Lytechinus pictus: one gene and its partner. The protein of the gene in region 1 purifies or fractionates together with the protein of each later gene. This does not show direct contact. Links are inferred from orthologs where the notes say so. Each region holds a gene or a part of one and is shown on either strand. Other genes may lie near its edges.

Region 1 (8,349 bases):
ACGGGGGGGGGGCATGGGGGGCACGTGCCCCCCCCCCCCCCCCCAATCGGCTGGCCCCCCAAAAAAACGAGGAAAAGGAGAAAAGGAGGGAGAAAGGAAGAGAAACGTAGTGGGGAAAAAATAAATTATTGTTCATTATATTGTTTTATTATATTATATTATGTTATATTACATAAGAAGCAGTTTTTCATCACTTTATGAAACATTATTTGCTCAGGGCCTATGTCTTCATTGTTCCTTGTGCTCGCATAGACTGTTTAACGAGATATATAATCCTGTTGTACTAAAACCTCCCGTTTTCAAATCAATATACTGTACACCAAATATATTTCCTCGCAATTCGAGTTATTATTGTTTAATGTAGTGACATTTGCTTCTTTTTCATGAATACTTAAAGCGATTGCCCTATTTTAAGGTATTAATATAAAACATTTCCTGTCCGTGCTAATGTTCGCATTAGTTGATTGGTGAGACGTCTGCTCTTCATGAATTCCTAAAATCAGTCCTTAAAATGTCAATTTTTCTGATCTCAATATCAAAAATTTTCAGCTCGCGCTTCGCGCTCGCATCATTTGGTTAGTGAAATACGTACGGTCTTAGTGAATTCCTGCAAACAAGCCGTAGAATGCCCCTTTTTCAGGTCTGAATTTCCTAAATTTTCAGCTTCGCGCTCGCAGTATTTGATTAGTGAGATACGTATGACTATGACAACAAAAAGTGCTTCATGTGTTTAGATGTAATTCTAACAAAATCAGCAAAGGATGGCACTAGTACTAGATGACTATGCTGAGATATGTATGCACTTAATGGATTCCTAAAATATCCTAAGATATTTTTGCTGGTGCCCCCCCCCCCCCCCCAATGCCGTGACCCACGGTACGCCACTGGATGGGGGTGTCAAGAATGACATGAAGATTGTGAGTAAAATCAAGCTGGATCAAGGAGAGAAACAGACCTTCTTACAGACGATGTAAAAGGGGGCATAAACTTCCGAAAGTATATACAAATGCATAACTTGTAATTTTCCAACTTTCAATCGGTCTAGATAACATGCGAAATGGATTTTCTGTGTTCGGGGGATGGAATGTCACAAACGAATATAGTAATATGCGTCTAAAACTATATACATCTAGTGATCAGAACCCTTTAACATTTTATTGCAAGAATCGATTCCATTTGATTTCTGTATTTAGCATGCCCCCCCCCCCCCATTACTGGTAAACACTCATGGCATTCTTGATTTATTTTGGCTCATGAGTGCTGTTAAATCATCGATAACAAGACAACAATATGCCTTCTTTTTCAACCCCTTGATCTTTCAAGGCAAACAATCTTCGTATGGATTAGAGTTCCAATCTCCTTCATTTCTTTTTATTTTTGCTTGTCAGGTTATTTTATTTCAAATATTGCTCTTTTCAGAAGTGATATATTTTATTCATTCATTCAGTCCTTCCTTCATTTATTTATGATATTTTTATCATTATATATATATATATATATATATTGATTTATTTTATTTCCATTTTTCGGATCTTTATTTACATATATATAATTTTTAGTTTTTATCATTTTGTGAAGGTATGAATTTATTGTCATTGAGTCATTGAAAAACTGCCAAACAAATTGGAGCGTTTCTTTGCCTTACTCCCCCCCCCCCACCCCATGTCCTCATCACGTTTACTTTAGCACAAGCTCGTTTCAGATACAATATCTTTAATATGGGACTATAATAGGCGTTTTCGGATTTCAAATATTCTCTATTTTACCTTCACCAATTTCCTCCAAAAATTCACCAAAATGATTCCAAAACTTTTCGGTTGCTGATAAAGCATATTTCATATTGTGTAATGAATTCTATTTTAAAAGAAGTGTGCACTTACGAGTTATACCAATCTTGATGGCGTGTGCATAGACGGACCGACCGTTCTTGTCTCTGTAGTTCCAGTCCAATCCCAAATCATCTGGTCTAGAGAGGAACGTCTTTACGAGCAAGAGATCCATCGACTCGACGGCCTCAAATAGCTTCTGCCGATAAAATTTCTTGAATGTCATATTTGCCAGTTGTCTGCTTTTCCCTGCTTTATACTGCTTTTTACTCCAAAGACTTATTTAGAGGCCTCTTCCTCAGGAAAAATGAAGAAATATGACAGCCCTCTACAAATCAATTGATGATCAAGTTCATAATTGTTTCCAGTTCTTTTAATAATGTGTATTAAACTCCCTTTGAGGTCTATTCATTCACTTGACAAATTGAGGCGGCGTAAAACAGTGCAATATTTTCTGTTGTTTACATTCCATGATTAAACCCCTTCACGAGCGAAGAATGGCACATATAACTGGAACTGATAGACATTGCATTATCATCGATGTAGATTTGCACTTGTCTCCAGTGAACAACAACATATCTCAGTCGATCAAAGATTTAAGAGGGTTCCTTTAATCCAATCATGGACCCATGATCCAACGTCGAATTGATCTCTACCTCGGAGAAAACGTTTCGCCAACATTAATATTGCAGGTATCCATTATAGTCGTACACATCTAAACACGTCAGCCGCACAAACCACATTGTAGTCATGTCATTTCTCAGTATACTAGTATCCATAACAAGAATTATCTCTTTATATCATCCACGAATCTGACAAAATTCTGTGAAGCTTTTCACACGAAGCTTTATACAACTGATCGTTATATTAAATGGGTCTGATACAAAGGTATAAACCGAGCTCCGCCTAATAATCATAATCGAGCAATGTTTATCAATCATGCCGCTGGAAGTACCAGCAGCCGGCACAAAGCGAGAAAAGAGTTCAACAAAAATCATTTGAAATGGGGAAATGGAAGCAGAAAATGCAATTATTTGTTCTTCATTGCATGGCTGGATCTGAAAAGCTTCGGGCCTTGGCTATTCAATATTGTATTAGTCATGATTGTGTGCTGATATTAATAATTATCGTATATATTGCCTAAGTATTATATTCTGTATGCGGTGAATAATTAATTATCGTATGTTCACTGCCTACTATGGGAAGATTCTCAAGAATAAATCTTAATAGAAATGGGGAAAATCATTGTGAATCAATAGGATTTTCTCATGTACCTGATATCCTTCTGTCATCCAAAATTATGCAAACAAAAGTGCACAATTAGGGAAACTCTAAATTAATCTACTCAAATTTTAATGAAATAGGTATAGGCCTATAATGCCAGGGCGGCACCCGATCGAATTTATGTATTCTGTGTTCTTGAATATTGACGAACTGAATAGATTCTATGTATTATCAATTTTGTTTAATTTTGACAATAATTCATTTACTGTGTTTATAATATATTTTAATTGTCCCTCCCATACTTATGGCTGGGTAATTTTGTCTCTGATGTTCACACATATAGTTAACCTTATTTATTAAAATATAAACACCTTTGTGTCATTATCATTCTCACGTACCAAGTGGTATAATGTTTACTAAAGATTAAAAACATAACATAATAATGGCTTAATGTTAGAATATCTATTAAAAAGCCTCTTGTCACAAATTGTTATTCGAACGAATAGAATCCATTTATTTATTCATATTGAGAAAGAATCGTCTGATCTTGTTAATATAAATTCTCTAAATGTATCTTTATTACAAATTGGAATAGATTGTTTGGAGTGAACATGAAACAAAAATGAGTTAAAATGACGAATGCATTGGATCAGGGGGCAACGTTCCTTATTGTCTAATCTGTACAAATCAGGCTGAAAAGATTTTCATCCACAGTTTCCCCGATCGGCCTGTAAAGATTGTTGGTTTTTAAGGGGGGGAGGTAACATTAACTATTAAAGGGACCAAAGACTGATCGATGTTTTAAGTACATCTTAACTTAATTCTTACAAGCAAGAGAGAGTATATCTAATAAAACCTAAATAAAAAAAATGCAAGAGCAAAGTGCGAGCTCAAAATGTTGGATATTCCATGTATTCAGACCTGAAAGTTTAATTTTTTTTTATAATGATGCGAGCGTGAAGCGCGAGCTGATTTTTTTTTTTTTTTTTTTTTTTTTTTTTTGGGGGGGGGGTATACAGGCCTACTTAAATTGGGCATTCTGATGATCTTTTTGTAGTCATGAACAGGATGCGTGTCTTGCTAAACAATTAATGGAATGCAAATAAAGGAGGAAAATAGTTAAAATACAAGGTCTGCTTACCGGAAAAGGGGACGATCAATATTGTTCTTGGAATTGATAAAGATTATACATTTAGCCAGTCAATCAAATAATAAGAGTGCGAAGCAAGCACGAACTGGAAATTTGTGATATTGTTCAGCACTCATTTTCTTAACATGATGCGTGTCGATCTCGCTGAAAAAATAATAATGGAAACTTGAAAACGAAAATTTTCAAGCCCCATGCATGTTATCGTCTTGAGCAAAGTATATTGACCTGAAACTTTATTTTTACAATCCCTGTTTTATTCAACTTTTCTCATCCTCTTATCTTTTTCATTAAATGAGGAAAGGAAAGAAAGAAGAAAGCAGAGTATATTATAATAATAATAATAATAATAATAAAGGTAGTTACCCATGGTAGCCACTTCAGTTCCGAAAAGTGTTCTCCCAGCGGGCCCTGCTATTATTACCCGGCTAAGCTAGGCTACCTTTTCGGTGCACACAGCTTTTTTAAGGAATTACTTCCTGCCAGTACCCATTTACCTCACCTTGGTCGAGTGCAGCACACTGTGGATGAATTCCTTGCTGAAAAAAATTACGCCATGGCTGGGATTTGAACCCACGACCCTCTGTTTCAAAGTCCGGAGACTAATTCACTGGGCCACGACGCTCCAAAATGGGAGATCTGAGTCAGATAATCAATGAATGTTCTTATGTTCACCCCCAATACCCCCCCCCCCCCCCCATACACCCATCTGCCCCACTGATCTCTCCACTAGTGGAGAGATCAGTGATCGGCCCCCTACAAACTCTGCGCTGCAAAGATACCATAGTTGAAATAATAAGTAAAATAATTCGTCCCCTTTCTTCATTTTTTTTTATGTATTCGCTTCCGGATTTCTGGTTGGTTTACATTTTCCGAACTCGTAGTATTATTCGCCGAATAGACCTATAAGTGGATAAAACATGGCAGCACAACCTCTCGTCATAAGAATAAAAACACAACATGGAGAGGACGTTGATTGGACAGTGCAGCTTGGTCAATTGTCATTTCATGAAGTCTTGGTAAGGCCTAGATCTAAGGGTGTTTTGATCGGTTAAACTTTTCACTCGCTCTCACTCGGTCATCTTGGTCCGACATATTCATTTTATTGTCTTGTTTTGTACCTTACATTGGTTTTGATAATGTTGACGAGTGAGCCAGTGGCGGTATTAAAATGTTACAAAATTCACAAAAGATAGGATATTAAAACAAGCAAAAATAGGTACTTCCCTCAATTAGCAGTGAAAGTAGACTTTCCACACAGTCTCTATGTACCAAATCATGACATTTAATGTCAATGACATTTCCAATTGTAAAGAAAACAAAAATAGGGTGTCTGGAAAAAAAAAAATCTTATTTTAAGAAAATATCACATTTTCTTTGTGAATTTGAAGAGAAATAACCTTCAGAATGACAGAAATGTATTTTTTTTTTAATCCAATTATTGGCTACAAAAAAGAAGAATGAAATTGGGTAAATTTTCAGCATTTCCCTGCCCCTCAGCCCCTGGGCCTGCCCACTCATTCAATGAACAAGGTTATGTGTTATAACCTTGTTCTCAGTTAGTGAGTTACATCTCCATGTGTGGCAAATAAGGGTGGCAATTTTGGCTTATTTTCTCTTTTTTATGGGACAAATGCTTGATTTTCTTACACTGTCAGTTTCCAATACAGCTGTTCATCATATAACTTGGCTCTTATGTAAATTTGATTATTTAAATTATTTTTTCTGAATAAAAAATAGAGATTGAAAAATGTAAATTTTCTTGCCATATTACTTTCCACCAATAGAGGGTGTTCACAAAAATATGCCAAAAATTCAAGTTTTTGAGCGCTCTGTTGAATACAAAAATTACAAGTTACTAATGGAAATAAATTGCAACTGTATGGAAATTAGTTATTTTGGTCACGAAAGTGATATTTTAATGATTTTTTAAAGTGTGTGCTCAATACAGCATTGGCATACCATAGTCCTACCTGTAGATTCTCCACAGGCAGGATGGTTGCAGTGAACAGAAGCGGACTGAGGACTGTACCTTGGGGCATGCCCGGTGTGACAGGATTGCTGTTACTCATCTTTCCGTCAAGTATAACTTGTTGTGTACGCCCTTCAAGAAAGTCCTTTATCCATGAGAGTATTCGTCAAGAACAAATCAAGTGTTCTGTCCGTGCGAGTTGGAAAGTTGACAATTTGTGACAGTCCGACATCATTGAAGGTGGACTTCAATCATTCAGTGCAGCAGTGTATTGGTGACCGTCGATGGATGCAGTGTTCCAATTAATGTCGGGAAGATTGAAATCCCTGCTGACCCAGACTACTGCAGAAGGATTACTGATCGTAATCTGTTGGATTGCTTGGCACAGAGACTGAGCATAGACCATCATTTTTAGGAGGTCGGTTGGAAGACACAACAATGAGTGGCTGTTGGCCATAAATCTAGATCCTTGTTGCGATGATCTCACAGTCACAATTCAGTTGTACTTCACAGTCGACTAGATCATTCTTGGTGGCAAGTAGTCGATTTGACATTTTCCGAACCTAGAAATGTCTTTCCGATGAAGTTTTTTTCTTGATTCATGTTCCTATGGGGTCCTAGAACAAATTCAGCTTGGTTGCCCAAACGGCAACTTTGGGCAATTTTGCTAATTTGCATAAATCCAAAATGGCCGCCACATGCCATCTTAAAAACCTAAATTTTGAACCCCTTGCCCCAAAAGGATAAGGAATAACTCCTTTTAGAGGTTTAGGGTAGGGTAGAATCCATTTCTATTATCATTTTTACATTATAAGGTCATCTTCAGGTCAAATCCAAGATGGCCGCCAGATGCCATCTTGAAAAATTAAATTTGAACCCCTTTCCCCAGAATGATGAGTAACAACTTTGTTTAGGGGTTTTGGGGTGTGTAGAATCCATTTCTGCTATCTATTTTGCAATATAATGTTATCTACAGGTCAAATCCAAGATGGCCGCCATATGACGCCATTTTTATATTTTTAAATGTTAACTTTTGAACCCTTTGCCCCAGAATCATGAATATTAAATCTATTCGTGAGTCATTTGGTTTGTTGATTCATTTTATGTTGTAATTTTGCATAAAGGACAATCTTCAGATCAAATCCAAGATGGCCGCCAAACGCCATCTTGAAAAAAACTACTTTCCGAGGCTTATACGTGTAATGGCTAATATAAAGGGATTTCAGTAAGAACACTCGTTTCTTTTATTAATTCTCAAGTTTTAGGTCAAGGTGAAGTCACATCTGAGATGTCAGATTTCGACATTAGCTGCTCACCTTAGAATGAATCCTTTTAAGGTTTTGGCTATGATCCATTTCGTGTGTATTTTTATTTGTTTTAATGTCCATCCATACTCTTGTACTGAATAGGCTTTTAGTGTCTTATTTGAATTTGAAAGTCTTTTCTCCATGTTTTCCCTATATCAATGTGTCCAATGATTGGTAGGCATCAGTTCGTCTTAAAAGACGATGGTGTAGCGCTATAGGGTCTTACATTTTCGAGAGTGGCTGTAGAACTTAGCTCTAGAGTGGCAGTCTCTAGAGCAAATTTGTACAGGTGAAGGAGGATGGCACTGAGACAGGTATAGATAGAGATGCTGCCCTAGCCTTCCTCCTAGGTCTTTGGTCTGCCAAAAGCATTCTGATTATTTTCTCACGTCTTGACCCCTGTACTTATTAGCTCTCCATAGAATGGCGACTATCATCTACATCTTCATAAGTGTTAGTGTACATGCCGGCAAGTTTTATGTCACGTTTGCAGGTGTCTTTATGACGAAGGTGTGATCTACAAATGGGGTGAGAACAAGCACACAGCTCATCTTATCTTGGCGATGCGGTGAACATGCCCCAACCACATGAGGCGCCTTTGACTAAGGAACGAGAATTAGCCGGGGATGCCAGCACGTACGCTAAAGGGCCTCTGTATTTTTCACTTTGTCCTGCCATTTATAAAATAAATGTGCATGATACGTCTGAGGCAACTGACATGGAATGTGTTTAGCCGCTTTTCTTAGTTGGCGTACGTTTTCCAGGACTTCCGTACAGGAGCTTTACCATGACTATGGCAGATTTTCCTATCCTGGTGGTTATCTCCTTGTCCAGTGAAAGGGAGCTAGATAGGTGATCCAATGTAGGTGAGGA
Region 2 (8,048 bases), on another chromosome or scaffold:
GTACAGGAATGTTTTATTGTTACGGGTCCTTCGGTCGTCGGCTTTACCTCATTTGGTTTAGTAGGGGTACGACCCCACCGGCTTCTACACCTCTCGCAAATCGGACTCTAAACACGAAGTGTTGGGGCAAAAAGGACATCCTTTATAAAACATTTTAATTTTGTTTTATCAACCCCGCAAATTTGACCCTAAACACGTAATTTTCCTAGCGAAATAGATACCATTTTTTCAATATTTTTGTGTTTTTGACACCCTTATCACGTTACGTACGTAACGTGCCCTATCGTGATAAAGACATCCTTTTTACGTGTTTTTTGGTCACGCATGGTATCCACTCGTCAATGTAAGTGGCCCCCCCCCCCCTCATACCCGGGGATTGCGTAGCCCATTTTGAGGGGGATATGACGTATTTATGGGGGCAAACTTTCGCCAAAGCTGCTTGTGAAGCGAGTAAGCAAAACGTACAACACAAAAATCCAATTTTGTGATAGATTTGACATAGGCCTAATGTCTAAAAAAGGCTATTATATTCATCCCTTTTTCCTTTCCCTTTCTGTCTTTTTCCTCTATTTTTCTTGGTCGTGAAACTTTTTTTTCGGTGGGGCATGGCCTCCAAACCCCTAGCTATCTGTATGCCAGTGGGCCACTTGGACTGCATGGGAAAGGATGGAGGTTTGCGGCCCCAAAATCCAAAACAGTGCCCTTAAAGGTCAAATCCACCCCAGAAAAAATGTTGATTTGAATAGAGAAAATCAAACAAGCATATCAACGCTGAAAATTTCATCAAAATCGGATGAAATTTTTAAGTTTCGCATATATGTATTTTTCAGAGAATAGAAAAACAACTAAGTGATGTGCAAATGGGAGATTCGATGGTGTCCCTCACTTACTAGATCCTTTGTTTTTTATTGTTTGAATTAAACAATATTTATACAGGGTTTTTCTTTTTTTTTAAAAGGCAACCGAAGTTCAAAGGCCATGGGATCTGGAATTTGACATGAAATGAGGGTCTTTATACTCTTGATTTGTGAAAACTGACGCCTGCATGGGGACCGTTTCATGAAAGAACTTGTCAGACGTTTTATCCGACAAGTTCAGGGGGGCGTTTCATGAAAGGACTTGTCGGACGTTTTATCCGACAAGTCCCATTTTATCCGACAGTTACCATAGTAACAGTACCTCATCATCATCATCATCATCCGTTTAAGTACAGTCCACCAGGGGAGCGTTTCATGAAAGGACTTGTCGGACGTTTTATCCGACAAGTCCCATTTTATCCGACAGTTACCATAGTAACAGTACCTCTCAGCCAATCAACATCAGAGAAAGATGTCAGATCTGACAACTTGTCGGATGAAAATGTTGATGAAACACTCCCCGGGTTGGTGTATTATCGTACTTGTAAAAAAAAAAAAAAAAAAAAAATAAATAAATAAATAAATAAATAAATAAATAAAAAATAAAAAAATAAAAAAAATAAGCCAATCAACATCAGAGAAAGATGTCAGATCTGACAACTCGTCGGATGAAAATCTTGATGAAACGCTTCCCTGAAATTATAGGGGCTTGGGGACGGGAGAGAGCGGGTATAATAGGTTACAGTGGATTATAATTGGGAACTGATATAACAGGCGTGAAGGGGGGGGGGGTGGCTTAAGGGCTGCACATAAGTAACCTATACTGCCGTACGTGAGTGCCCATGGGACCCCCCTACCCAGGTGCAGATATATCCTGATTAGATTTTGAGAGGCCGACTATTATGCAAAAATAAACAATATGGCCTCTAAAATGGTGTTGTGTCTTATCCGGCTGAATCGGTTCCCCCCATTTGTAATTCCTGCTTTTGAATTTGAACTGATGGGGGTGGTGGCTGCATGAACTTGATACCTCAAAACGATTTTTTTTTATCAATCATTTATTGGATTCCCACATAATTTGTTATTGCTAGACCTTTTTTATACAAAAACTGCAAAATATACACCAATTTAATTATTGAATTTGCTTGTGATCGACAATTTTCATGATAAACAACTGCAAAATCAGGTGAGTAAATAGTATGATTTTGATTAATTTAATTAAAATTTCAACCCTTTTATTTCTTCCTAATTGCTTAATATTGGAAAAGGAAAATTTCACACAAAGTTCAAAGTTGGTTTGAATAAAAAGAGAAAAATCAAACAAAATTGGATGTAAAATAAGAAAGTTATGACATTTTAAAGCTTTGTTAAATTTCAAAAAATAGTTATATTCACATCCTGGTCGGTATGCAAATGAGAGAAGACTGATGACATATAAGATTCGGTCTATATATCTATTAATCATTTCCCCTTACATTTGCTTTATTCCCCCCTTTTATCTTGGTCGTGATATTTTTCAAACTCTTATTTTGTTTTATTTATTTTATTTATTCATTAATATTAATTTGATTATTTGTTTGTTTATTTATTTATTTATTTATTTATTTATTCATTTATTCATATTCCACAAATTTTCAAATTACATTTAAAAATAAATTCTATTCCATCAATTGATTATAATTTATCATCATTATTATTATTTATTTATTGTTTTTGGGGAGGGGTTATGGCCCTCAAGCCAGGCCTCCATCTGTACGTAATAATAATAATAATAATGATAATAATAATAATAGTAATGATAATAATAATAATGTTAATAATAATAATAATGATAACAATAAGCGCCAAATCCACTCTGTAGATTGCTCAAGGCGCATAAAGAGCAAAGAGTTTAAAAAAAAGTTTTTAGAAGATTTTTAAAGTCTCGACAGACGTACGTTTTTTATGTCTTCAGGAAGGCTATTCCACAAAGTGGGACAAGCAAAAGCAAATGATCCCCCCCCCCTCAAGTGATACGTAAGTGATATGATGTCAAATATAACCATTTTTTTTTTGTAAATCATAAAAGCAGCTATACTTGCATGAAGGTGAGCATTGCAGTGGCGTATCTTGGACAAACGGCGCCCGGGGCAAGCGCTAAAATCGCGCCCCTTTCAATGCGAGTGTGAATGTTTTTTAATATTAAGACATTAATACGGAATATTCTAAGTTGTCTTTTTATCATAAACATGAAGCGTATCTAACTAAGGAACATGTTCACACTCTTTATAAGTGATGTGCAATGGATTGACGCTCAAGTATATGTGACGAGAGGTTATAGATCTTCCCCTTTAAGGACGTTCCACAGTTAAAATGAAATCCATGTCATTTTCACCAAACTTTGCACATAGATACTTTAGAACCTGAATATTCGAAATATGCAAAAATTAACATAGGTCCATGTGCTTGATTTTTTGCTATGGAGCTTCAAAGTTCACCCGAATGAATGTTCTTACGGATTGCGCATTCAAAAGAATTTGGCATTTTTAGACCTCGCAAGATCACTACAATGAGTTTAAACCTCTATTACTCAGTCAAAATACATGAAAAAGTCATCAAATTTCGCAAGAGAGTTTATAAGTGTATCGTTAGAATGGATAATCTATTTATAGTGCTATTTGTTTGCAATTTTAAGTCTAACAGCACTGTGAGTTCTTAAAAATGGCGTAAAACATAACAAAAACCCAATCTTAAAAATGTGAAATTTCAATAACAAACTACAAAAGTACAATAAATGCTGCACTTTATTCAAAATCCATGTCATTTTCACCAAAATTTGCAAAGTTGTAGAGGAAGGTATACCCAAGAGGTGCAAACATTAAAAAATAGGGCTTCATGTGCTTGTTTTCAAACTATCAGCATTTTCATTAGAGCAAATGTGCTTTTTAAAACACCAAAATGCGCCAAATGCTTTGTATCTATGAGAAGAAAAAATCAAAACCACTCTACCATTTATTTAAACTCGGGGTCATATTTGTGATTTTTGGCAGCACTGCAGAGTAAAGTATTTTAAAATTGTAAAGATGTTTTTTTTAAATGGTCCATGGAATAATTAAGGTTTTTTAGCTTCATAAACTAACGCATCGGATCTGCAGTTAGAGTGCAGATGATGAGAAAATTCAGTTCATACCCACAGCTAATTAATCACCTGTTCATTCATTGTGACGTCAGCGCGCGGAGTGTAAAATATGCGCAGATCATAATGCACACAAACATAACTGTGGAACGTCCTTAAACAAATTTAGGGGGGGGGGGGTGAAAAATTACCTAACTTCAGAAAAACCCAGTGCACTTCATTCGCTATATTGTATGAGCTAAAATGTGCAATGTTACCAAGGAGTTGGGAGTTTTGTGTTATGAATTTTAACTTCATAACCTGTGTACCATATACCTTCCACTTTATCATGTAGATTGTGCGCCCCTCTTTCTATCGCTGTCCGAAACTATCAAATTGATTTTTTAAAGATTTCTTTATATATAACATTAATGATAAAATCACTATTCGATGGTAATATTGACATTTTGTACATGGAAACTGAAAAAAAGTATGTGTGTGTGGGTGTGTGTGTGGGAAGGGGGGAGGGGGGCTCCAGTTCCGATGACTCATCCCCGGGACTCACCTTTGATATATGGCTAGCTCGGGAGACAAACCACTGTCTGAAGCAAGCCAGAGAGAGCAAGCGGTCTAGCGCCAGCTGTTGATGATATACAGCCGATTTCCCGAACATTCGTCCGTCCATATCTGATCGAAGCTGAATCAGAAGTATTGAAGCTCTGACAAAATGGTTGATTACAGCAAGTGGGATCATATTGAGGTAATATTATGTTCCGTTTTAGGTTTATCATTCGTGACTTTACATAATGTATTTTTTTGTGATGATTAAAATCATTTGCAAACAATTTCAAAGCCAGTCTTCATTTTCTTTATTGCAATTTGTTGAACCCCACCAATTTCAGTTTATGGGACTGATGTAAAGTGATTTTTGTGACTCTGACTCTGAGTCTGACTGAGTTTAGCTTGTGCCAAAGTTGTGTGGGGGGAGTGTTGCAAACGAGCGGACTTCATTTTTCATCAGGTTCGACAGGATTTTTTCCTCTCATATGTGAGTTTATTTAAATTTGGCACTGCACTGGCAATTTAAATTGGAAAAAAGACACAGTGACTGACTCACTGAGTAAAGCCTGTGCTTCAGAAGTTCAGTACCGGTATTGTATTACCGTAAGTAACGGTGTATTAACCGCACCCGTGTATTAACCGCACCCCCCATTTTCGGATGGAAAAAAAAAAAAAAAAAATCATAAAAAAAAATTTAATCAAACTTACTTTCTATCTCTAATATGCGTATTTAAGAAAGAGTCAAGAGCCAAAAAATATCGAACTTTCGAAGAATTACTGGTAAAAAATGATGGGAAATCAGCGCTTCGTCACTTATCTGCAAGTTGCCGATATTATTGGCCACTTCCACACTCCGAGTCACCTCACACACACACATATGGTACCGGTGTTCATTGCAAGTACCGATACCAGCATCAACATGGGGGCTCACCCATACGAGAAGATCGTTCATATCATATTTCCTGCATCACAGCCCCACTTTTGCTTTCAGAATTCTGTCTAGCATTCAATGTCTTGACATGAATTTTAGACAAGGGAATACGGGAAGGTTCAAGATACGAGAAATTTGCGATTTTGTTCAGGTGTTTTTCTTGTCTGCTTTGAACCACTACCGGTAGTTCTCAGTACGTGTGTGGCAGTATCTTACAGACAGCAAAATAGGAAAAAAAATGCTAGTACCGGTATACCGTATTTTCAATGGGAGCTCTGGGCGGGAATAAAGTGAATAATAATTAAAAATAAAAAGTCGGGAGGAGTGAAGATGGGGATTGAAGATTGATTTTGAGATGATGGATGATAGAGAGAAATGAAGGAAAGGCAAATGAAAGAAATTAATTGTCAAATAATACCAATAATTTGTCAAACAAAATAACTTCCACAGAAAGGTAAAGCGCCAGCTTACGTTGACGTTGCGATAAACATTACACATGCATGTCTTATTCGGCTAGCTGCACCGCGCTGTGCGATCGATTGGCGTCTGAACTTTGCCGCGATGACTAAAAAATGACAACAAAGACAGAGTCACACCATTAAAATAAGTCAGTTTCATGAAGGTAGGTGCGTTTGTTACCGTGATATAACTTTGAGGGACATTTACGGCAGATACCGGTAGTCATAGTTGCTTCCCTTTTATACCCGCGGCTCATACCCCTCTAAACGGGATTGCCCCAAGCGGCTACGCTCGGCCACCCGACGCGAGTTGAAAAATGGTAGTGGTATCGGGCTGAGATTGGCTTGGCTCAGACCTGTCACCGTGTATAAACCGCACCCCCGACTTTTGATTCTGTCCCGCCGAGAAAAAGGTGCGGTTAATACACCGTTACTTACGGTACTTTGTAAAACTAAAATGAAATGGTGCATGTGCTCACTGGTTCACCCCGACCATTCGCCATACAGAAAAATGTACGGGGTGGGACTGATCTGAGACCAGTGCCGCTAACACTGTCATTTCTAATGTAGGAACGCGCGAAGTAAAAGAGTCTGACTTACCAATTCTTGTGTTGACCCAAATGCAGATTTTGGTTCTACTTAAACAGGATTCCAATGCCCAATGAGTCAAATATCGTCCTTCAATTGAAGATTTCTTTCTAAATCGGGTAAAATCATAAGGAAATTTTTCCTTATTCTCGTCTGGTCCATAGTCTCCTACGTAAGTATTTCAGCACGCCCTCTTGTGCTGAATAAAAGAAAGCTAGCCACTGAACAGTGGCGACCACAGAGCTGGTTACAATAAGCTCCTACCTGTTTCCGGTGAAGCATAATAATAGGAAGCTCCGTGATCCGGGGACTGTAGTCTTTTTCTCACCAGACACCACTAACGTACCTAAGGGGCAGGGAGGGCAGACTGCACCCCCTGACGAGTCACAACTCATGCAAGGGACGTACCCCTGCCCCCCTGACGAGTCACAACTGATCCCTGTGACGAGCCACAAGTGGCCCCCTCTTTTGAACTTGAAGACCTTTTTTTTTTTTTTTTTTTTTTCAAATTTTTTGGCGGACGAATTTGCCCCCCCTTTGGAAAATCCTGGGTACGCCACTGCCTGACACTCAATATTTTGTTCACTATTTTTTTTTTACACAAGAATTATTGTTGTCACAGGCGGCGGAGGGGGGGGGTACACATTCAATACCCCTTAAATTTCAGGAGGAGGGGAGAGTTCCCCTTAATAGAAATAAAGAAGAAAAAAAACCAAAGAACAAAGACTGAAAAAAAAGTAAGAAATAAAAAATCAAAAGAATTAATTTACGCTCAAAAGAAAAAAGAAAGAAAGGGTAAGGGAAGAGGAAAACAGACAAATGATGCTCTGGATACAGTACTAGAAATATTATAGATAAGCCCCCCAAAATAGCCATTTGGAGTTTTTGGACTTTTTTATTCTTTAAACATGTTTATCTAGACGAAACAAAATTGCCAATCTGTCGAGGCTATCGAGACATGTTTACCAGAATGCATCACGAGTAGTGTTTCATCCATCGGGGTGGATGAACCTCTATGGCTTCGTGATATTTTTTTCTTTTTCGATTTGTCACGATCAAACACCATTGAACGAACCAAGAGTAGTGACGGTCACCGGAGGTGGAAAAATCGGTGAGTTTTTAGTCATTTTTCATATTATTTTCAGCAATTAGATCAAATTTGTTATATAAATTTATGTCAAGTATCACACTTGATCTAGTTCGATAAGGTCATGATGTTTGGGTGAGGGAAGGGGAGGAAAATAGTCGATGCTTTTTTTGGCCATGCTAGTGTATACACACGAGAACGAGGTTATATTATAACCTCGTTCGTAGGATGAGTGCATGTGCTGAGCTGTGCCATATTTGTGGCAATCGCAAGTTGAGAACTTGAGTCTTGACTAATGACTTGTCTTGAGTCTTCACTCTGTTGCAAAAAAGTTTGTTACTTTGTGACAAACTTTTTTGGGCCAAGCCAAGAAATAGTGGAATTTGTACGTTCTGCCCTTACACCTTCATGACCTTGTTTTCTCCATGATGGAGCCACTGTTACCGCACTCACACTAATTACGAGGTTCGTA

The links.
Region 2: the proteins of dual specificity mitogen-activated protein kinase kinase 5-like (region 1) and hsp90 co-chaperone Cdc37-like purify together in Homo sapiens (affinity purification with mass spectrometry; 3 studies listed by BioGRID and IntAct, with this or other methods). This does not show direct contact. The link is inferred for Lytechinus pictus from reciprocal best matches to the Homo sapiens genes MAP2K5 and CDC37.

What each region holds. Positions count from the first base shown.
Region 1 is NC_087249.1:19,536,617-19,544,965, forward strand, and holds the start of dual specificity mitogen-activated protein kinase kinase 5-like, read left to right. Parts: upstream 1-4,925; 5' UTR 4,926-5,117; coding exon 5,118-5,216; intron 5,217-8,349. Other genes in the region: short transient receptor potential channel 5-like, read right to left, coding at 1,881-2,052. UniProt on the Homo sapiens protein: Acts as a scaffold for the formation of a ternary MAP3K2/MAP3K3-MAP3K5-MAPK7 signaling complex.
Region 2 is NC_087263.1:6,061,842-6,069,889, forward strand, and holds the start of hsp90 co-chaperone Cdc37-like, read left to right. Parts: upstream 1-4,610; 5' UTR 4,611-4,678; coding exon 4,679-4,711; intron 4,712-8,048. UniProt on the Homo sapiens protein: Co-chaperone that binds to numerous kinases and promotes their interaction with the Hsp90 complex, resulting in stabilization and promotion of their activity. Inhibits HSP90AA1 ATPase activity.